Elephas maximus indicus: one gene and its partners. The protein of the gene in region 3 purifies or fractionates together with the protein of the main gene of each other region. This does not show direct contact. Links are inferred from orthologs where the notes say so. Each region holds a gene or a part of one and is shown on either strand. Other genes may lie near its edges. The genes, in order: CDC25B, SAMHD1 and CDK1.

Region 1 (7,762 bases), on a different chromosome or scaffold from region 3:
TCTAAATGGAAGAGGGTGCAGAGAACGGCTGTGGTAGAGACAGCTGGGGCTGGTCGCAGGGTCACTGAGGCGTCACCAAGGCAACAGTCTCGCCAGCTTGCCCACAGGCCTTCCACCTGTATGCAAATCGCCTCAGTGGGGCCATATGGCCGCCAGGAAAAGCATCCATCCATCCTGCAGATGACAGGCCCGGCACGCGACAATGCGGGAGTCTCCAGGGCCTGGATGCCAGCAAGGCTGGGCTTCTATCCCCTTGGCCTGCCCCCTCACCCCAGGACAGAGGCCTGGTTTAATGTTCCCCTGGATCAGTCCCAATCTGCCACGCCAGGCCCCCTAGTGACAAATGCACTGGGTCACATCCTTTCCTCCCTCCTATGGAATTTTCCAGGACCCAAGCCTCTGTCCCACCCCCTCCTCCTGCCTTAGAAGAGGCCGAGGAATTCCGACAGATGTTCCTTTTGAGGCTAGGGCATAAGCTTTCCGTACCAAGGCCCCGCCTCCCAGCTATGTTACAGGAGACCACCTGCCACGCAGGGCTTTTGTGCATCTATGCACGTGCGCACACACACACACACACACACACACCCCAGACTCTTTCTGAGGAACTTTGTGTAACCGTCAAAGCAGGTGCAGAGGTGGGGGAGGGAGGGAGACTCAGGGCTAAAGTGTCAGAAGGATGGCCCCTAGGTGGAGGCTATGCCCAGCAGCCCTGGCATCAGAGATCTTCCCTTCCATTTGTTTGGTTTCCAGTCAGCACCTGGGTCTTGTGGGTAAAGCAGGTCCAGCTTTGACTGTGCTTCCACCAAAACCTAACCTGCAGCCTCCACCCTTACCCGCACCCCCACCCAACTCTCTGTTTCCTGTTTGTGAACCAACCCTGCAGCCCAGCCCAGGCTGATAAAGGCAATGAAGGAAAGACAGCCATTGCCCTAAACTCAAACCTATAGTTCCCCAGCCCAGCTGGGGACGCCCAGCTGTCCCCACTAATGGCTGGCAGCTGTTCCCCCTGATTGAGCCCTAACAGCTGGACAGAACAGCTGTACTTTGGAAGACACTATCCATGCCCCACCACCAAGGGGGAAGGGTCTGTCCAGGGGACAGCCCCACTCCGTCTCACAGGGCCCTGGTCCAGGGGTTGGCCAGAGGGCCAAGAGTCACTGAAGCCAGATATTGCTGACGGTCAAGGGCCAAACCAGCCTGTAGGCAAGTGTGTTTTGTTAGGCTTACAGCAAGTTAACAAAATGGAGTTAGTTGGGCCCCATTCTAAAACTGTGGTATTTCACAGAAATAATCTGTACAGGCATAAAGAAAGATGGGCCATGCATTGGGCCCACGCTCCTACATGATAAGGGCTGGCTGGAGTCACTGTCCCCACCACCCCTGGCCCTGAGCCCACTCCCAGCTGGCTCCCATGAGCGCAGACCCTTCTCTGAGATGGGGGCAGAATCCTGGAACCTGAGATGGCCCCTGAGTTCCCCCATATGTGGGTCCTGCAGAGTTTGTCACTTCTCCAGATACCCCCAGTGAGTTTATGCTAGAACTGGGATTCCCAAGGCAAGCGCTGACTCCTTGGTGTGGGGTCTCCATTCTCTACTCACGTCTGTTCTGCCACCTGGGGGTCCATGGGGCTGGGGGAGTCCATGCAGAGACCTGGGGGGACAGAACACTTTGGTAGGAAGGTAGTGAAATTTCCCGGACTTTCTCTACTGTGTCCCAACCCTATTCAAAGAAGGGGGGAAAGAAAATCTGTTTCTATTTAAGATCTTGACACATTAAAAAATGAAACAAAAACCATCCATGGACCTCAAAGGCTGACATATTGTCCTCCAAATTGCACAGGGCCCCTGGGCCTGTTTATTATGAAAATCTCTCTATGCGTTGTTAAACTGCAACCCTTGCTAAGCGTTTTTCTTGAACAGATTTAAAATCATTTGCTCTAGAAGCAAATTATTCCTTTAAAGGAAAAAGCTACAGCTTAAGGTCAGAGGGGAAACCCTGCTGGTGTAGTGGTTAAGTGCTAGGGCTGCTAACCAAAAGGTCAGTAGTTTGAATCCACCAGGAGCTCTTTGGAAACTCTATGGGGCAATTCTGCTCTGTCCTATAGGGTTGCCATGAGTCGGAAATCAACTGGATGGCAACGGGTTTCTTTCTTTTTTTTTTTTTGGTTAAGGTAAGAGAAGGCTATACAAAGACCAGCTTTCAGCCCTGAATGCCTCCCAGGGGGCTGTGGTTCAGGACCCTTGGTGCCTGGTTTGAGATCTCCCCTTAGGGCCCCACCCTCCAGTCGGCCTGTCTGGGCTGGGTGTGGTGACCTCCACCAGAGGTGTGTCTTCCTCTCAGATGAGTGGACAAGAGGGGAAGCTCCAGAGCCCACCAGGTGGTGGGAAAGATGTTAATCTGACCATCAGGGAGGTTGGGAGATTCAGACAGCCCCCTCAAACTCTTGGAGCACTAGAGGACCTCCCTAGGCACCCCTGGGCCTTACCTGCATCAGAAGCTTCAGAAGACTCAGATGACAGGGAGGACTCAGATGCCCGTCGTCGGGACAGGGATGGGCACGGCAGCCGGCTGCCGCTGTGGAAGAGCAGGGTCCCTACCTGATTCTTTGGGGTCTCGCTGGGAAAGCAGCACGGGCCCAGAGAAGGAAAAAGGTAAATGTGGGGCTCAGGGGCTGACAGCCCGTGTTCCAGCCCACCACCCCGCTCTGAAGGGCCCATCAGCTTCTGTACTGTCCCAGGAAGGCAGCAGATTCCTTGGGGGAAGGACTCAGTAGGGCACCACACCAAGGAGGTGGGCTTATCAAGGGCAATGTACTTTTTTCCTAGACCAAGGTAGGCTCATCCTACAGTGGCCCTACATTTCTTGTCTTGCTTTAGGAAGGGTCCTCCTGGGTGCAGGGGGAGGAAAGCCTAGGGCCAGGGCAAGAAGGATGAGGGGGAGGAGCCAGCCTGGGGAATGGGTAGGCAGCAGAGGAGCTGAAGCCCTAGGCTTTCCCTAAACTCTCCAGGCCCCCACCCATCCACGTGCCTTTCTGGAGAAAAGGCCAAAACCTGCGTCTCTACTGCCGCTAGGGCAACCCAGCCCGAACCATGCAGGTTTGCTTAAGGAGCAAGATCGGCCTTTAATCCCCTCACCCCGGATCCCCCAGCAGAATTGGGACGGGGTGGGGGTGGGGAACAAGACCAAGGAGATGGGAGGACCGGACTGCTCTGCCACCCCAAATTCCCTCACCAGGTTTGGGATTCCCCGCCTGGACAGAGATTAGGGAGATAGCGTGGTGCGGGCACAATGCGGGAGAAGGAGGAGGTGGGGCGGAGAGCAGGTCGCCCGGAGTGTGTGAGCTGCACCGCCCCGGCCTCTGCACCCCACCTTTTAGATTCAGCTTCCAGGCCGGCCTCCCAAGGAGTCCTGGGACCACATCCCAACCTGGGCCTCCTACCCCATGCCCAGCCTCCTGGGCCGTCCTACCTGCCAAGCCCGGCGAGGTCGTGCATGGTCTGTGTGAGGGTGGTGACCGGCGAGGAAGCGGCCGCGCGCTCCGGGGACCCCAAGAAGCCGCGAGCTCCCAGCCGGAGGCCCGGGAGGTGGTCCGGACGCTCCGCGCCACCACGCACGCCGGTCGGGCTGAGACCCGAGCTCGGCGCGGGCTCCGGCTGGGGCAGCTCCATCGCGGCAGGGTCGCAGGAGGCTGGTTGGAAGGCCGGGCGCGGGGACGCCAACAGACGCCGGGCACAGCTGGCCGAGGCGAGGGAGGGCGCCCGCCCGGGGGGAAGGGAAGGGAGGGAGGGAGAGCAACGGGGCCGGGAGCGAGGGAGACGGGGAGGGTGGGGAGGGGTGCAGGGGCGCAGGAACCAGCCACCAGTCCGAGAAGCCTCTGGCTGCAGCTGCCACTTCCACCTCCTTATATATTCGAAAAATAACAGCGGCCGCGCCGCCGGACGCCGCCAATCCCGGCGCGGGTTGCAGGAGGGCGGGGCCGACCCGGCCCGCCCCGCCGGCTCCCAGGCTCTGGGTTGGGGGGGAGAATTGGGTCCTGTCCCACACCTCTGTCCCCCCCCCCCCCCCCCCACCAAGCCTGGCCGCTAAGATCCTGGCCTCCCGAATTCCACCTCTCTCAGGATGTGGCCCGGAGCTATACGTCTCCAGTGGAGAGGACCCCAGAGGAAGCAACAGCCCGCTGGGGCTGGGGGTGGGGGTCTCCGAAAAGCCCCCCGCAATTTAACATCAAATACAATCACCAGCAGGCACCTTGAAGAGGCTCAATTGGCTCGAGGAATTTGCCTAACACGGCTGCTCTGCGGTCTGTGTTCGTTCTCCCATTTTACAGCCGCGAACGCTGAGGTCTAGAGAGGTTAATTAACTCGCCCAAGGTCACACGATTGCGCAAGTCGTGCAGCCGACCGACATTGGCATCCAGGAGCCTCAGAAGCCTGCAACCTGCCTGCCCCCACGACTGGCAGCGCCAGCCGGTCGCCAAGTGAAATTTCCACTCAGAAACCCTTGCACAGGACTTGGGGGCGGTATGGGGGGGGGCGAACCTGGAACTGACAGGCGCTTCCAGGGACCCCCAGATTAGATGTGAACCCAAGAGGCCAGTTTTCTCCCACAGCCCGAGAGGAGGCGCCGTGGTTGGATTGCCAAGGGTTTCAGAGGCGGGGGCACAGCTCGGGAAGGCAAAAGCTGCAGCCCTGCGTCCTTTCCATGCAGCATCTGCCATCCAGCCAGGGCGCAGTAGACTCCCTGAGCCGAGGAAGTGGGATGGCGAAAGGGAAGGACTGGCAGTGGGTGGGCTGGCGGATTTGTGGAGGCAAGGGGAAGACCCCAGTACCCCCTGTGACGAGAGACCATGGTGGGCACAGGTGATCTTTCTTTATCTCAGCATTTTGGCCACCTCCTGTGCTGTGCCAAACAGGGCTGAGGTTTGGGGTCATCCGTCCTGGGTCAGGAGTACAGGTCTGGACCTCCAGCCGCTCCCAACATCCAAGGCTGGGACTACCCTCAGTGTCTGGGGGCCCCTGTGAGGCTGCCCACCCCAAATACCAAAAAAAAAATTGCCCTGAGGGCTACATTTTCAAAATCAACACAGCAGTTGTGTGTGTGTGTGTGGGGTGGGGGTGGGGGGTTATACTTTCTAATTCCTTGAAATCCCCCAGTCAGAAGGTCCCTACTGGGCCAGTGACCCAGGGCCAGGGCCACAGAGGAGACACTCCAGGCCATCCCACACACCAACTCTCCCTGAATCTTTTTGTCAATTCTATCATAGATCATGTGCTCAGTCAAAACAAAAAAACTAGTCAATAAAATACATTGAAATATTTATAGCCATTATGGCAAGAGGACCACTCCTCCTATTCAGCCCAGGCACTGGTTAGGCTGAAATTTCTGGGTGGCAGACAGCTCCATTTTCCCAGTAAACAGACATCTGAGCATAAGGTAGGGATCCCTGCTGGTGCAGTGGTTAAGCGCTCAGCTGCTAAGGGAAAGGTTGGAGGTTCAAACCCACCAGCCACTTGGCTGGAGAAAGATAGGACAGTCTGCTTCCATAAAGATTTACAGCCTTTGAAACCCTGTGACCATTTCTACTCTGTCCTTAGGGTCACTGAGTTGGAACTGACTTGGCAGAAATGGATTTTTGGTTTGGCATAAGGTCCTATACATCAGCTCTCAGCTCTTTTAAGGTGATCCAGTGTGACCCTGGAGTCCCTGAGTGCTGCAAACAGTTAATGGCTGCTAACCGAAAGGTTGAAGGTTCAAGTCCACCCAGACGCACCTTGGACGAAAGGCCTAGTGATCTACTTCCAAAAAATCAACTATTGAAAATCCCATGGAGCACAGTTCTACTCTGACACACATAAGATCTCCATGAGTTGGAATCACCTTGAGACCATCTGGTTCTGGTGTGACCCTGGGGCCTTAGTAAAAGGGGAGGAAAAATTATCAAGTGTTTGCAAAATCTTTTGTTTCTCCAAGTCTGTAACCACATAGTATCTCCTTTGTGGGACTAATTTTTCTAGTGCCTTTTCTGTCATGGCTTTGTGACGTGTTAAATGTTTTTTAAAAAGTAGTAGATGGTACTAAAATTCAGACAAAAGAGAAAATTTAAATGGTACAAAAGGGCAGTGAAAAGTCCATCTCCGCCCAACACAACCCTTCAGGACTCCCTCCCCAGAGGGAGCCACTGTTATAAATTGGTTCTATATTCCTCTGGAGATAGTCTGTAATAGCCCTAGCCAATGGAAACATAATGGGAGGCCAAATTTGAGCCACATATGTAATTTAAAATTTTCTAGTAAGCACATTTAAAAAGGTAAAAAGAAACAGGTGAAGTTACTTTTAATATTTTACTTAACCTAATGTATTGGAAACCCTGTTGGCTTAGTGGTTGAGAACTATAGATGCTAATTAAAAGGTTGATAGTTTGAATCCACCAGGCGCTCCTTGGAAACCCTATGGGGCAGTTCTACTCTGTCCTATAGGATCGCTATGAGTTGGAATCTACTAGATGGCAATGGGTTTAATATATGCAAAACAACATCATTTCAACAAGTTACCAATATAAAAATTATTAATGGGATATTTTGTTTTTTTTGTACCAAGTCTTTGAAATCCAATGCGCCTTTTATGCTTTCAGCACATCTTAATTTGTAGTCACCATATTTCAAGTGCTCAATAGTCACATGGGGCTAGTGGCTTCTGTACTGGATAGTGCAGATTTATACATTTATAAGGAGATTCATGACCCTATTTTAAAATATATATAAACAGTATATTAAACACTTTGGTTTATTTCACTTGGAGATGGATCCATAGCAGTACACAGAGAGCTGCTGTAAGTTATGGCTATACCACCCCCGTTGCCATGAAGTGGATTCTGACTCATAGCAACCCTATAGGACAGAGTAGAACTGCTCCATAGAGTTTCCAAGGAGCGCTTGGTGGATTTGAACTGCCAACCTTTTGGTTGGCAGCCAAACTCTTAACCACTAAGCCACCAGAGTTTCCTGGCTATACCATAAACCAAAAAGCAAACAAACAAACCCACTGCCGTCCAGTCAATTCCAACTCATAGTGACCCTATAGGACAGAGTAGAGCTGCCCCACAGAGTTTCCAAGGAGCGCTTGGTGGATTCAAACTGCTGAACTCTTGGTTAGCAGCCATAGCACTTAACCACTACACCACCAGGGTTTCCCTACATTTACTCAATCCTCTAAGGCTGAGCATTTAAGTTATTATCTTTTACAAACAACGATACAGCAAGCGTGCCTATAAACCTAGTGCTGCTGTAACTGAAATACCACAAGCGGGTGGCTCTAATGAACAGAAATTTATTTTCTCACAGTTTAAGAGGCTACAAGTCCAAATTCAGGACACCAGGTCTAGGGAAGGCTTTCTCTCTCTGTTGGTTCTGGGGGAAGGTCCTTGTCTCTTTTTAGCTTCTGTTTCTTGGTTCCGTGGCATGGCCTCTGTCTTCCCCCATCTATGCTTCGTTGCTTCTGTGCCTAATCTGCTCCTTTTATATCTCACAAGTGGTTGGCTTAAAACACACCCTACACTGATATGGCCTCATTAACATGATAAAGAAAAACTCTATTCCCAAATGGGATTATATCCACAGGTACCAAAACCGAAAAATCAAACCCACTGCCCTGCCTTAGAGTAGATTCCCGTAGCTACGCTATAGGATAGGGTAGAACTGCCCCATAGGGTTTCCGAGGTTGTCATCTTTACAGAAATGGAATGCCACATCTTTCTCTTGTGGAG
Region 2 (7,762 bases), on a different chromosome or scaffold from region 3:
TAACATCATAGAGGTTAGAATTTACAACACATAGGATAATCGCATCAGATCACAAAATGGTGGAGAATCACACAATACTGGGAATCATGGCCTAGCCAAGTTGATACACACTTTTGGGGAACACAATCTAATCCATAACATTTTACCCTTTTGCCCCCCCAAATTCATGCCTTTGCCAAATGTAAAACACTTTCAGCCCATTGTATCATCCCAAAACTTAAATCAACTCCAAGTCCAAATTCCATCCTGGGGCAAAATTCCTCTTAATCTGTGAAATCTACAGTACAAATTACCTGCTTCCAAAGTACAATGGCAGAACAGGCAAAAGGTAGACATTTCCAAATGGGAGAAATTAGAGGGAAAAAAAAGAATAACAGGCACCAAACAAGTCAAAAACCCAGGAGAACACACTACATTAGCTCTCAAGCCTTGAAAATAATTGTCTGTTCTCTGAGACCATTTAGGCAGTAGCCCTGCCCTCCAGACTCTGGGTGTTCCACACTCTTTGGATTCTGGGTAGAGGCCCCTCAGCCCTGGGCTTCAGCTCAGCCTTCTAGGCCCACTGGGATGGCAACTTGACTCTTTTGGATTTGGGCGGCCCAATTCTCCTAGTCCATCTGAGTGGTGACCCCACCTCCTCAGCCCTGACAGGTCCCGTTCTTCTGCCCCTTGGATGTGGCAGCCCTGTCCCCTCAGCTGTGGGCAGCAGATCTGGCCCCATCACCCTGACACACATGAATGACAGCCCCACACTCCAGAGCTGAGTTGAAGATCTGACTCTTTGAAACCTCAGAGGTCGTGGCCCCAGCCTTTGAGACTGAGGCAGCTCTGCTTCCCATGCTCTTTGTCTCTTCAGTTTCTGCTTCCTGTTTCCTTGGCCTCTCCGCCTGAAGGTGCTCAGCTCTCTTGTTCCGTGGTTCAGCAAACCTAGCTCTGGCGATAAGTGCCTAGAGGTACCCTACTCTGCAAACAAACCTCCTGCCCAAAAGCACTCAGCTCTCTCACTCCATGGATCCGCTCCTGTACCATCTGATGCCAGTTTTGCTGTCACCATTTATCTGCTCCTGCTTCCCACCATCTGCACTGTCTCCAGCGTTGCAGATCTCTTCACTTCCTTCGGAGCCAGTATTGCCTTTGATGTCCATAATTCCACCAACAGTCTCTTCAAGGCAATCTAGGCTTTTACTATTTGGCACTTACTGGGAATTCCCATACAATACTGGGAATCATGGCCTAGCCAAGTTTATACACATTTTGGGGGGACACAATTCAATATATAACAGCCCCCCAAAATTCATGTCTTAGCCACATGCAAAACACATTCACCCCTTCACATCAATGCAAAAGTCTTAAATAAATTTCAAATCCAAAATCTCATCTTCTGAATTAATCCTTCTTTGTCCGTGAACCTGTGAAATCTAGATTACAAGTTATGTTTCCAAAGTACAATGGGGGTTCAGGCACAAGGTAGACATTTCTATTACAAATGGGAGAAATTAGGAGGAAAGATGGGATAATAGGCACCAGACAAGTCCCAAACCCAGCAAAAGAATTTACATTAGCTCTCAAGCCTTGAAAATAATCCTATCTTCTGTGAGACCATCTAGGCAACGGCCCTGGCCTGAGGCTCTGTGTATTAACCATGCTCTCTGGGTTCTGGGTAGAGGCCCCTCGGCCCTGGTCTTCAGCTCTGCCTTCTAGGCCCACTGGGATTGCAACTCTGCTCCCTCACAACTGGACCAATAAGCAACATCATGATAAATGCAGAAAAAATTGACGTTGTCAAGGATTTCATTTGGAAACAGCAGTCAGGAAATCAAAGGATGCATTGTACTGGGCAAATCTGCTGCAATAGACCTCTGAAGTGTTAAAAAGCAAAGACTAAGGTGCATCTAACCCAAGCTATCCTATTTTCAATACCTCATATGCATGCGAAAGCTGGACAATGAATAAGGAAGACCAGAGAAGAATTGAAGCCTTTGAATTGCAATGTTGGGGAAGAACGCTGAATATACCATGGACTACCAAAAGAACAAAAAAATCTGTCTTGGAAGAAGTACAACTAAGAATGCTCCTTAGAAGCAAGGATAGCAAGACTACGTCTCATATACTTTGGATGTTATCTATCAGGAAGGATCAGTCCCTGGAGAAGGACATCATGCTTAACTGTTAGCCTACCAGGGCTCCTTCAATAAATGTTAGCCTTCACTATTATATATTATTAGTAGTATATTTAGGTTATTTCTAATTTTCTGTTTTTTTTTTTTATATAACCTATGGTTACAAGAATCACTTGAATACATTCTTTGAATACCAGTTCAATTACATCTGTAAATTCCTATAAATGAAATTCTTTTAAAGTCAAAAGGTATTACCAAAAAAAAAAAAAAAAGGTATGGCCAAACTGTCCATTAATATGGTTGAGCTGATTGCGATTTCCATAAACTTTATTGAACATTTCCCCTATTATCAACATTTTAAATCTTTTCCTGTCTAAAGCAAAAATTGGTATTTCTTTGCTTGCTGTTGAAAGTAAACATCTTTTCCTGTGTTTACTGGCTGGTTGTCAACAGTCTGTTATTTTGCCCATTTTTCTATTTTATTTTTCCCCCTTTGCTCTTATATGATTTTCTAATTTGGTTATGTTCTCCAGTGGTTTCTGATGAGAGCATATGTTCAGGTATAACTGGCATGAGTCCTGAAGTCCAAAGACCAAAGCTTAAAATCCAGCTGCTTTTTCCTAGCTGTGTGACTTTTGGCAAGTTACTTAATATCTTTAGACCTCAAATACTTCATCTATAAAAATCGTGGGTTATGGCATTTACATTTCAGGAATATTGTAAGATTGTAGTCCACAATGAAACATGGAACCAGCACCTTGTACTTGAATTTTACCCACTGAAGGCATGTAGTGTCTTCTGCTGCACTAGACTACATGTTTGAGAGAACATAGATCGATCTGGAGGCTGCTGAATTAATCTACAGAGCACAAATGAAACAGAGATTCAACAACATAGCCAGTCATATTCTAGAGACAAAATTGAAAGCTACTCCTGTCCCGTGCTTGCTACTCAAAGAAAAATTCCATCCCTGCCTTGGAGGAAAACGAAACGAAAGGGGGAAGCTAAAAAAGAGAATTGCAATTTCCCCGCACCCATTCAAGCTATCTTTAGGTCCTGAAACACTGAAGTTCCTCCCACCTCTGTCCTCAAAAAAAAAAAAAAACAACCTCAGCAAAATGGGCACCACCCTACCATTGCAAAAGTTAACTTGATTTGCAAATCACAACCACTAAAGAACCACCTTCCTATTGAGCGCCTCAGAGAATAAATTGGGAGCTAAGTTTCACATTCCAACACAGAAAGTTGAGTAGATTTCAAGTGGATGGATACTGAACACGATGAGACAGTAAAGGCACTTACATAGGCTACTTCAGAAATCTGGTGTGAGCAAGGGCTCACTGAGTCCATACTGCCCCCATGCGATTGTGACCAAGGTGTGGGCTGCTGGGGTTCAGTGGTCAGCTGTACAACCCCAGTGTTCAGAATGAGCAAGGGAAACTGCATTCGAAGAGCAAAATATTACCAAACTCTGCTGACCCAGTCAACAAACACTTGCTTAGAGCCCTACTGGAATGCTATGTTAATTCAGAGATGAACAAGCTCCCTCCCCTTCGGGACAACTAGGAGTTAAATGACGGGAAATAGAAACTTAAAAGCCTCAGAACATACTCTAATGTGGCAAGCATGCAAGGATCTGCGGTAACACAGAGCCTGAATGACAGCAACCCTCCAATCAAGTTCTCTCACTTCAAAAAGGACTCGAGTATCATCCACCTGGCACTAGGGTAGCAAGTTCCTGAAGAAACCCATCAAAGTAAGACCAAAATCTGCCACTGCCCCTCCAACCTCAAGTGGCCCCCTTTTCTCCTGGGCGCCCTCCGGCCAAGGTCCACCCCTTCTGAGTGCCTTCCGGGGGGAGTCTTCCTTCCCCGGCTCAGGTGGCCTCCTCCCGAAGGCTCTCTGCCTCCTGTCTCTATTCCCCACCTCAGGTCTCCCCCTCTGGGCGCCTCCCGCGTCCAGCTTCCCTTCTCCGCTTTAGGTCGTCCTCCTTGGGGCCCCTTGCCCCCTACCTCAGGGCGCACTCTCCTCAGCCCCAGCTGGTTCCCGCCTCGGATCGGCGTCCCTGGGCCCCCCCACCCCGGCCCCTCTAGCCCCGTTACCTCGGAAACGTGTCTGCAGCAGAGGGTCACTACCGATGCCACTGCGCCTTAGAAAGGCGCACACCTGCTCAGGGCCCCAGGTCTTGGGGTCGGGGTGGAGTTCGCGCTCCGGGGATTCCGGCGCCGCTGCAGTCTGGGTGTTCTGCGGGCTTCTCGGGCTCCCATCGCGTCGGGGCCGCTTGCAGGGCTGCTCCGGCTCAGCGCTCTGCATGGCTGCACCCAGCGCCCGGCGCAGCCGAGTCAAGGATCTGCGGCGCCGGCCCGCGCGCAGACGCACTGGCTACCCCGCTCTGGAGGCGAGTCCGCTCAGCCTTGCCGGCCAACAGGCCTCCCGCGCAGGCGCACTGACAGCCCAGCCCTGGGCCAAAGCAGTCCAGCAACTGCAAACAAATGGCCACCTGCTCAGGCGCAGCGTCAATCCCGTCGTCCTCGCTTAGGCTGAGGAGTTTACGTTAAGGGGCGGGGCTGGAAGTGTATCTAAGGCCCGGGCTCTGGTCGGTGCTAATGGCAGGGGCGGGGAAAGGGCGTGCCCTGGTGGACATCTGGCCACACTCTGGAATGGCTGCTCTTCTGGCGATCTGAAGGTAGCTCTCCTCCAAATGACTATCCCAGGCGTCCCCTTGGCTGGATTTCAGATGCCCCCATAGGTCAGAACTGACTCGACGCCAACTGTTTTGTTGTTGTTTTTTAAACTTAAATATAAAAGGCCATCACACTGTCAGCACCTTTCCAATGAAGAGGGAAAAATGGGCAAGGGGCTGAAGTCGAAGACCCTAATCTTGCACTTCAATATTGGGGATGCCTGTCTATCCATGAACACTTCCTTCAGGGTTCCCTAAAGAGGTGGGCTTTAAACTTCTACCCTCCAAATGGAGACACATCTTTGGAAAGACCCCTTCAACTCCTCTTTCCACCCCAACGCCCTGCTCAGAGGAAGGGAAGGGGTCAATCTGATTTCTCAAAATTTACCTTCAAAGACTTTTACTATCCAAAAGTATCAATGTGTGAAAATGGCAGGCATCTCCTTCTCACGTCAGCCCCTTTGGGGCAGGGCCCAAGCTTTCCTATAAATCCTGGTCCATGCAACTGACTGAATTAAAGGACTACTACTAATAAGTGCTACAGCTGCTAACCAAAAGGTCGGCAGTTCGAATCCACCAGGCGCTCCTTGGAAACTCTACTGGGCAGTTCTATTCTGTCCTGTAGGGTCGCTATGAGTAGGAATCAACTCGACGGCAGTGGGTGGTGGATGGTACCAATACCACTACTACCAATAATAATAAAGACGGTACACCTTTCTACCATTCCCATCCAGGGGATGAAGGATGAATGAGGCGCATTAGTTCATCATCAAGCAGTATGAACTAATAATTGAGTGGGAACTAAAATACTCTTAACAAACACTTAGAGCTTTACTGTGTGCCAGGCACTGTTCTAAGGACTTCACAAATAATTCATTTACTTACCACAATAACCTTATGTTGTAGGAACTGAGGCACAGTGAGATAAGTGATTTGCCCAAGATCACACAGCTAGCAAGTGATGAAGCCTGGGTTCAAACCCAGGCATTCTAGCCTGGCTCCCAAGTCCATGGTCTTAGTAACTTGTCCACCATTGTTTGTTAATAGGTTTTTGATACAAAATTATTTTATACTGCTGTTGTTGTTAGGAGTCCTGGTGGCCCAGTGGTTAAGAGCTTGGCTGCTCACCAGAAGGTGGGTAGTTCCAACCCACCAGCTGATCCTTGGAAACCCTATGCTACAGTTCTACTCTGTCCTATAGGGTCATTATGAATCAGAATTGACTCAACAGCAAGGGGTTTGGTGTTTTTGGTTGTTGTCAGCTGTCCTCAAGTCGGTCCCTGACTCATGGTGACCCGTGCACAACGGAACGAAACGCTGCCTGGTCCTGCACTACCTCCATGATCTGATGTGGATTGGATTGTTGTCATCCATAGGGTTTTCACTGGCTGATTTTTGGAAGTAGATCGCCAGGCCTTTCTTCCTAGTTTGTCTTAGTCTGGCTGTTCCGCTGAAACCTGGGCGGCATACTAGCAAGAATTCACTGACAGAAGTGTGGTGGCTGAGCACAAGATGCATTAGCCAGCTATCGAGCCCTTGTGGGGGAGTATACCAAATTCCCAAACCACGGGCGCCGAGTTGATTCTGACTCATAGTGACCCTATAGGACAGACTAGAACTCCCCGGTAGAATTTCCAAGGAGCGGCTGGTGGATTCGAACTGCCAACCTTTTGATTAGCAGCGGAGCTCTTAACCACTGGCCACCAGGGCTCAGGTAAGGGAGTATTAAGAAAAACTCACTGTTGAGTCTATTCCAACTCATAGCGGCCTTATAGGACAGAGTAGAACTGTGCCATAGGGTTTCCAAAGAGCGGCTGGTGGATTCAAACTGCCAACATTTTTGGTGAGCAGCCGAGCTCTTAACCACTGTACCACCAGATTTGCTCTCCATTGGTACATAAGGCTAAGGCAGAAAAGCAAGTGTCCTTAAGCACTAAACAATTTGTAAAAAAAAATCTGACAGTTGCCAAAACTTGTGTAATCGAAACAAGGGGGTAAAAGACACAATAAATAGCGCATGTGTGAAAGACTTATATTTGAAGTTGGAAATGGCTGGTTTGAAAGTTTGTGCTTATGAGACTTGGGGAAAATCTACCCTGACAACAAGGGTTCCTGGGCAATAGAAAGGGATATAAGCAGGGTTTTAAGTTTAACCAGTTGGGTTTGTTCAAAGCAGCTGCTTTTGAGAACTTTTATTTTCTATTTGTTTTTGTTTGTTAAAAAGCATTATCTTAGTTATCCAGTGATGATATAACAGAAATACCACAAGTGGATGGCGTTAACAAAGAGAAATGTATTCTATCACAGTCTAGGAGGCTAGAAGTCCAAATTCAGGGTGCTAGACCCAAGGGAAGGCTTTCTCTCTCTGTCGGCTCTGGAGGAAGGTCCTTGTCATCAATCTTACCCTGGTCTAGAATTTTCTCAGTGCAGGGACTCCGGGTCCAAAGGACATGCTCCCCTTCTGGCTCTTCATTCTTGGTGATAGGAGGTCCCTCTATCTCCTCTGCTCACTTCTCTCTTTTATATCTCAAAAGAGACCCACTCAAAATACAACCTAATCTTGTAGATTGAGTCCTGCCTTATTAACATAACTGCCTCTAATCCTGCCTCATTAACATCATAGAGGTAGGATTTACAACATATAGGAAAATCAGATGATAAAATGGTGGACAATCACAAAATACTGGGAATTATGGCCTAGCCAAGTTGACACACATTTTTGGGGGACACAATTCAATCCATAACAAGTATAATTTAATGTTGTATTCCTTATTTTTCCCCCAGCCCCCTATTTTATAGGGGCACTTGATCTTGCACAGGGTGATTACTTGCTCAAGGTCACATTGCTGGTAAGTAGAAGAGTCAGGATTCAAAGCCAGTGGCTGTCAGACTCTAAAGCTTGTGCTCTTCAGTTTGCCACTTAAATCCACTCGCAGTCCTGTCCCATTCAGTCATTCCA
Region 3 (7,762 bases):
AGTGCTACGGCTGCTAACCAAAGGGTCGGCAGTTCAAATCTGCCAGGCGCTCCTTGGAAACTGTATGGGGCAGTTCTACTCTGTCTTATGGGGTCGCTATGAGTCAAATGGCATTGGGTTTGGTTTGGGTTTTTTTTTAACTTAGCTTATGTAAAATTATTTATCATCCTAAACAAAACTATGTTGTTGCAGTGTGCCGTAGAGTTGGTTTCAACTCATAGCAACCCCAATGACAGAACTGCCCCATAGGGATTCCTAGTCAGAATCAGGTTTGGTTTAATCTTTTGGGGAGCAGATCACTATGTCTTTTCTCCCGTGGAGCTTTGGGTGGATTCAAACAGCCTCTGACTTTTCTGTTAGCAGGTGAGCGATTAACCATTGCACCACCAGAGCTCCTTAAATGTAACTATAAAAAAACAAAAAAAACCTATTGCCCTCCAGTTGATTCCAACTCATAGCAACCCTAAAGGACAGAGCAGAACTGCCCCATAGGGTTTCCAAGGAGCAGCTGTAGATACGAACTGCTGACCTTTTGGTTAGCAGCCAAGCTGTTAACCACTATGCCACCAGGGTTCCAAAGTATAGAAGACTAAAAATATACATGAAATTAATATATAATTCCCCCCACCACATAACAGTTATCAATAGTGTTTTCAAAACACAAACATTACTTATATGACACAATAAGACAGCCCCATGGGGTTCCTAAGGAGCAGCTGGTGGATTCCAACTGCTGACCTTTTGATTAGCAGCCGAGCTCTTAGCCACTGCACCACCAGGGCTCCCAGATATTACTTAAGTGTTTAGTATTAGGAGAATACTAATATTTTGGGGAGGAGCCATCAGGAACCATATATATTAGAATGAGTTTAATTCTCTAGAAATGTGAATAATTTTGTGATGTTTAGGTTATTGTATATTATGTAAAGAATGTTTAAATTTATGAATATTAGTATTGGAAGATACCTTAGAGGTTAAGTTATACAAACATTTACATTTCTTTATGCCATGGGTGTTGTAGCATCGTTAAATCATTTTAAAACTTAATTATTGAAATCACTCACCTTCCCCAATTTTCTCTATTTTGGTATAGTCTTCCATAGTTACTCAATATGTACTGTAGATCCTAAAATGAAAAGGAAAAAAAAAAGAGACTGATTTGATTACAGGCCACTAACTCAAAAGGTGGTTTTACGTCACTATATGTGAAACATTTAGCAGTGTTTGGTGCATTTTATATTAAGTATTCCACAAATGTTAGTTATTATACTAAAATATTTACATATTTTATGTAAGTTATTTTAATACTTACAATACTTATTTAATATTTATATGTAAAATATTTACAAGGATAAGGACACCTGCAATAAGACTTCCCCACCCACTTTACCATCTAAGGAGCCCTGGTGTGCACTGGTTAGAGCTTGGCTACTAAACAGAAAGTCAGCAGTTCAAATCTACCAGCAGCTCCTTGGAAACCCTAAGGGGCAGTTCCACTCTGTTGTACAGGGTCTTCATGAGTCAGAACTGACTCGATGTCAATGAGTTTGTTTTTTTTTTTGTTAGCATCTAAAACATTGAAAGTATTTATATATTCCATACTAGTACTTAGCTCCTTCTTAATCAAATTAACCCTCAAATTAATGGATTTACAAGTAAAGTCCATCCTTCCCGAACAAAAACCAGGAGTATGTTCTCTTTAACACTTTTAAGGAGCAGCAGCGTATGCCAAGATTATACCAATGTATCAGCAACTAATGTCATTTGACTGAATTTGTACTGCTTTTTACATTTTTATGAAGATGTTAATTCAAAAGAAAAAAATTGTAAAAGACATGAGTAGGGAGCTAAAATATGGTCAGACTGCTCACCCATTAGATTGTTTTGAGCCCCCAAAACTAAGTGTTTATAGCTACTCATGTGGCAGTTTTAAACTTTCTGCTTTGTTTTTAGCAGTCACATCCACAGACTTGCTCATCTATTAAAAGTCTTTCAAAGTACTTTTTCCAAGAGTAGGAAACATCCCTGAAAGGTAAAGCTGAAAAGTACCATCCCATAGATAAATTTCTAATTGCACACTATGCAACATCCAAAACTATTGCTGAGATAATCCTTAAACCTTAAACCAAAAACATCCCCTGAAGTCTTCTTAAAGCCAAACAAGAGTTTAACCTTTTTCTAGTAAAGAATGCCTGCCTCAGCACTATGCTCTTTTAAGAACTATCTATATGGGATTAAATTGACAACAGTAACTCCAAAGATTAGATAGGAACCTTAGGGGGCAATGAGTTTATGCCAACGGGGGAGGAACAACTCAGAAGAGGGTGAAAACGGTTGCTCAGCTCAAAGAATCTAACCACGCTCACTGAATTGTACACGGGGGAACTATACTATATATATAAAAAAGTAAGTAAATAAATAAAAGCTTATTTGCTGGCCACCAGACACTCAAGACTTCCTCAGCTGGTAAGCTTGCCAATGAAACATAACTTCAGAAGTCCAAAGCAGAATTACTTTGATTTTTTTCTAACTCAGCCATCACTGACGATAAAAGCATGAAAAGATCAACTGAGCAGCTGATCCTTAGACGTTCTATTTCTTCCACCCACCTTCGCAGGAAAAAAAAAAATCACAACAGAAAGTAGTAGGGTAAATCATTGTGAATAAACAAAACTCCACAACACTGGGCATGAGGGCTTACTGTAAGAATTTCTCATTTTATAAAACTGTAACGGAGAACTTAGGACAATTATTTTTCCTCAATAACCAGATGTGATACGTCTAATGCACGATAAAACTGTTGAGCTCACTTCGAATAAATATTTAAAAACTAACAATTCCAAAGCTGGCTTCGATTACCCTCCTCAGGTCTTCCAGTTGTAACAATTTTAAGTAAAACAAGCAGCTTTAGAAGGCCTCTCCAGTGCCCCTCCTGAGGCTCAGCACTATTAGCTGCAGGAAGCTGAGTACCCACTAGGCTTAGTCTTCCTGTCCAGAGACTTCCAGAGTCCCTTAGAGGAAGCAAAACGGGCCGATGAGTAATGTTAACACTAGATAAAAATTAATTAGAGGCCTAAAAACACACGTTTCAAAATATACACCCTGCTCAGAAAACCAGTTCCAAAACAATTCTCAGTACAGATGCTTCCTCAAGATAAACTTTAGAATTACTCATGTCCTCCCTGCAGTCACCAAGAAGGGTCTCATGAGTGCTTCAAGGCCAGCTGCACCCAATTTAACGATTACTCTAACTTTTAAGCAATTTTAGAAATGTATGTAATCTATCAATCAGATGTATCCTTGCCCAATGTTGTCACCATTACCTAAATGTTAACCAATCACTAAATTTTTACCGTAAGTTCCTTGTATTATAAAAACTCTCTAAACTGTCTCCTACTCGGATCACTTATTTCAGAATCCGCAGGACCCTGGAATTCCCAGTTTGCAAACTGCCTTGCTCTGAATAAAAACTCTTTCCATTTTTTGTCTATCCCATAGTAGACAACAACTACAAGTATAAAACAAATCTTAAAAAGTTCCCTCTGGCTCTGCCGCCTTGTAAGGTGTGGGTGGGCAAGGGCCGTGGGGTGCAGCAAGGCCGAGAAGGTACAGAAGTCCACCGGGTCAGGTTCTCTGGACCGATGGGTTGAGTGCCCGGCGTGGGTACCTGGCCCGGGTACCTGGCCCACCTCGAAGCCCGAGCGGAGCGTGCGCAGAAGGCAGGCCCCGACCGCGGGACCCGGGACCGAGCCTGGCACTCCACGGGAGCTCAGCGTCCTCGAACAAGTGCAGTTAAATTGCTTCAACTCTGTTCGCACTATAACCAGAAAGCCTCCTCAACCAGGTAGGCAGCCCCTTCCTAAAAACAGCCGACCCCGGTCCCACCCTGGAATTCCGAAGCCAAGGCAGCCCCAACCCTCCACGGAGTAAGCCACTCAGGACTGGATGTCCCCTAGACTCCCCTTAAGTGGGGCCCCGGCGTCGCTTACACGCTCAGGCCGCGGGTCCCGAGCTCCAGGCCCTACCTACCCCCACCCCCCGAGGCCAGGCCTGGGCCACGTAGACACAATCCGGGCCCCCAAACAACACCTCATGCCTCAGTACTCCCCCTCCTGAAGCCCCGATCCAGCCCCTGCCAAGTCCGCGCCCCGTCGGCATGGCCCTGACCCCTGCAACTCTACCCAGCTTATTATCCCGCGGTGGTGACGGCGGCAGCGGCGGCAGCGGCTACCACGTCCGCGTCGCTCTCCTCAACTTCCAGGATCCAGGTTTGAAGCTAAGTGAACGCAGTTTCAAACTCTCCGCGCTAAAGGGTCTCGGATCCACCAATCAGGTATCCCGTAGACTTTCAAAGGAGCCAATCAGAGCTCAGTTACGCTGGGGCCTGCTTTCCCCGCTGGCTAGAGCGCGAAAGAAAGAGGAAACGGCGGCAGGAGAGGAAGCAGGAGGGCGGGCCCCAACTGAGTCTGCACGCAAGCGCTCTCTTTCATTCCAGGGGAGCGTCGTCCTACTGTTTCTAAGTCCTTGGTAATCTGCTGTTCTCCGTGGGGTTTTTCTCTCTCTGTAATGATACAATTAATTTTTATCACACTTAAATAGCTTATCACAAAAATAAAACTACACTTACATCAAGGTTCCATTCCTTCCGATTCTAATACTTAAGGCTAATGTGTATTTATGTTTTTCTGAGTGGCTTGCAGCCTAGGCGTAACTATTTCTCTAAAGGAGCACATTTTTAGTTGCCTTCAAGATGAAAATATTGGAAAACTGAAAGATGCTCTCAGTGATCTAAAGAAATTACCTTAGTGTGTTAAAAATATACTTTTTTTGTTTAATTTTAAAATGTGTTCATATCAGAATTTTAAATGTACTTTACATGCACAAAAATTAACAGTTCTACGAGGGGAGAAGAGGAGACCTTATACTTTAAGTAATCCAGTGTCAAAAACTGTTTCATTCCCCTCCGCCATACCCTTAAGAGGGATTTCTGCTCTTGAACATCATTCTTACCCCTTTGTTGTTATTTGTTACCCCTTTGTTGTTATGTTACGCCTTTGTTGTTATGTACGGGTCAAGTCGATTCTGACCCCTAGTGACCCTGTAGGGAGGGGCTGCTGGATTCAAACTGCCGACCTTTTGGTCAGCAGCCAAGCTCTTAACCACTGCCCCACCAGGGCTCCTTTAGGCCTTTAGGAAACAAAACAGTATATAGAACTGGGGTTATCTTTGCATTGATGATAACTACGCATAGAATAGCGACTATCACCACCTCTCAGAGCCCTGGTGGTACAGTGGTTAAGCATTCAGATGCTAACCAAAACGTGGGCAGTTTGAATCCACCAGCTGCTCCTTGGAAACCCTATGGGGTAGTTCTACTCTGTCCTATAGGGTCGCTGTGAGTCGGAATCCAGAGGAGGGCAACAGGTTTGAGCTTTTTGGACCACGACCTCTACAAATGTGTATTAAAAAAGCTCTGACAATTAAGAGTGTATAACAAGGTGGATGGAAACCCTGGTGGTGTAGTGGTTAAGTGCTAAGGCTGCTAATCAAAGGGTTGGCAGTTGGAATCCGCCAGGCGCTCCTTGGAAACTCTATGGGGCAGTTCTACCTGTCCTACAGGGTCGCTATAAGTCGGAATCGACTGGATGGCACTGGGTTTTGGAACAAGGCGTATGTAAATTTTTGTATGAGAGACTGACCTGATTTGTAAACTTTCACTTAAAGCACAATAAAAATTAATTAAAAAAAAAAAGCTTTAATTAGGATGAAGAATGGAAGTAGTATATCCCAAGCATTGTGTTTGATACCATCCCACACAACTTGAGGAGAAGGAGCAGAGTCTGTCATCTGGCCCTACATGTGGCAATAACTCAGACTCGACAACATTACACTCTCAGGCCACAGAGGCAGAGCATTTGGGGTCCATGGTGGAAATAAGAGTTGGTAAACTTCCCCGCTGAGCCTAACAACTTTTAAAACTTACTTTTAAAACCCCAAATTTATCCCACTCCTCGGGATATACCCTAGAGAAATAAGAGCCTTTACACGAACAGATATATGCACACCCATGTTTATTGCAGCTCTGTTTACAATAGCAAAAAGCTGGAAGCAACCAAGGTGTCCATCAACGGATGAATGGTTAAATAAATTGTGGTATATTCACACAACGGAATACTACCCACCAATAAAGAACAGTGAGGAATCTGTGAAACATTTCATAACATGGAGGAACCTGGAAGGCATTATGCTGAGTGAAATTAGTCAGAGGCAAAAGGACAAATATTGTATAAGACCACTATTATAAGATCTTGAGAAATAGTATAAACTGAGAAGAGCACATACTTTTGTGGTTATGAGGAGGGAGGGTGGGAGAGGGTTATTTACTGATTAGTTAGTAGATAAGAAGTACTTTAGGTGAAGGGAAGGATAATACTCAATACATGGAAGCTCAGCTCAACTGGACTGGACCAAAAGCAAAGAAGTTTCCAGGATAAACTGAATGCTTCAAAGGTCAGCGGAACAAGGGCGGGGGTCTGGGGACTATGGCTTAAGGGGACTTCTAAGTCAATTGGCAAAATAATTCTATTATGAAAACATCCTGCATCCCACTTTGAAATGTGGCGTCTGGGGTCTAAAATGCTAATAAGCGGCCATCTAAGATGTATCAATTGGTCTCAACCCACCTGGATCAAAGGAGCATGAAGAACACCAAGGTCACACGACAACTATGAGCCCAAGAGACAGAAACGGCCACATGAACCAGAGACTTACATCATCCTGAGACCAGAAGAACTAGATGGTGCCCGGCCACAACCAATGACTGCCCTGACAGGAAGCCCAACAGAGAACCCCTGAGGGAGCAGGAGATCGGTGGGATGCAGACCCCAAATTCTCATAAAAAGACCAGACTTAATGGTCTGACTGAGACGAGAGGAATCCCGGCGGTCATGGTCCCCAAACCTTCTGTTGGCCCAGGACAAGAACCATTCCCGAAGACAACTCATCAGACATGGAAGGGACTGGACAATGGGTTGGAGAGAGATGCTGACGAAGAGTGAGCTACTTGTATCAGGTGGACACTTGAGACTGTGTTGGCATCTCCTGTCCGGAGGGGAGATAGGAGGGTAGAGAGGGTTAGAAACTGGCAAAATGGTCATGAAAGGAGAGACTGGAAGGAGGGAGCGGGCTGACTCATTAGGGGGAGAGTAAGTGGGAGTATGGAGTAAGGTGTATATAAGCTAATATGTGACAGACTGACTTGATTTGTAAACTTTCACTTAAAGCACAATAAAAAATTATTAAAAAAAAAAACCCAAAATTTACTTTTTAACTGGAAACTGGTCTCCCAGAGAAGCGCCCTAGGGATACAGGCTGTTCTCTGCTAGTTTAGGTTACTGTTTTTAACAAATGAGTGTATGTCTTTCTCTTTGGGAGGCTTAAGCAAGGAACTCTATTTTATAAAACAGCAAGTAATCCATTATATTCATCTTACATTAAGCATAAAGAAGGCCACAAGCGTCCACAGCTGTGAGGCTAAGTAATTCAAGTTAACTCAATTATCTTTCTTTTTAAAGTTTCAGGGGTTACTGTAAATTCATGCTATCATCTCTACAAATACAGCTTATCACACTTGCTGCTAACTTGTATTCAATGTCTCTCAAGTGCAACACTGCTTTGTGGACACAAAAATGAATAAGATACACTGTCTACTCTCAGTGTGTTCGCAGAGGGAGCACAATGATTATTTAGAATTCTCTTCTGC

The links.
Region 1: the proteins of CDK1 (region 3) and CDC25B purify together in Homo sapiens (affinity purification with western blotting; 4 studies listed by BioGRID). This does not show direct contact. The link is inferred for Elephas maximus indicus from reciprocal best matches to the Homo sapiens genes CDK1 and CDC25B.
Region 2: the proteins of CDK1 (region 3) and SAMHD1 purify together in Homo sapiens (affinity purification with western blotting; 3 studies listed by BioGRID, with this or other methods). This does not show direct contact. The link is inferred for Elephas maximus indicus from reciprocal best matches to the Homo sapiens genes CDK1 and SAMHD1.

Annotation. Positions count from the first base shown.
Region 1 is NC_064843.1:42,404,174-42,411,935, reverse strand, and holds the start of CDC25B (M-phase inducer phosphatase 2), read right to left. Parts: upstream 3,861-7,762; 5' UTR 3,669-3,860; coding exon 3,469-3,668; intron 2,617-3,468; coding exon of another isoform or gene 2,575-2,616; coding exon 2,486-2,574; intron 1,651-2,485; coding exon 1,599-1,650; intron 1-1,598. UniProt on the Homo sapiens protein: Tyrosine protein phosphatase which functions as a dosage-dependent inducer of mitotic progression. Directly dephosphorylates CDK1 and stimulates its kinase activity.
Region 2 is NC_064843.1:32,594,331-32,602,092, reverse strand, and holds the start of SAMHD1 (deoxynucleoside triphosphate triphosphohydrolase SAMHD1), read right to left. Parts: upstream 4,648-7,762; 5' UTR 4,434-4,647; coding exon 4,223-4,433; intron 1-4,222.
Region 3 is NC_064834.1:27,395,160-27,402,921, forward strand, and holds the start of CDK1 (cyclin-dependent kinase 1), read right to left. Parts: upstream 4,396-7,762; 5' UTR 4,182-4,395; intron 1,127-4,181; 5' UTR 1,102-1,126; coding exon 1,065-1,101; intron 1-1,064. UniProt on the Homo sapiens protein: Plays a key role in the control of the eukaryotic cell cycle by modulating the centrosome cycle as well as mitotic onset; promotes G2-M transition via association with multiple interphase cyclins.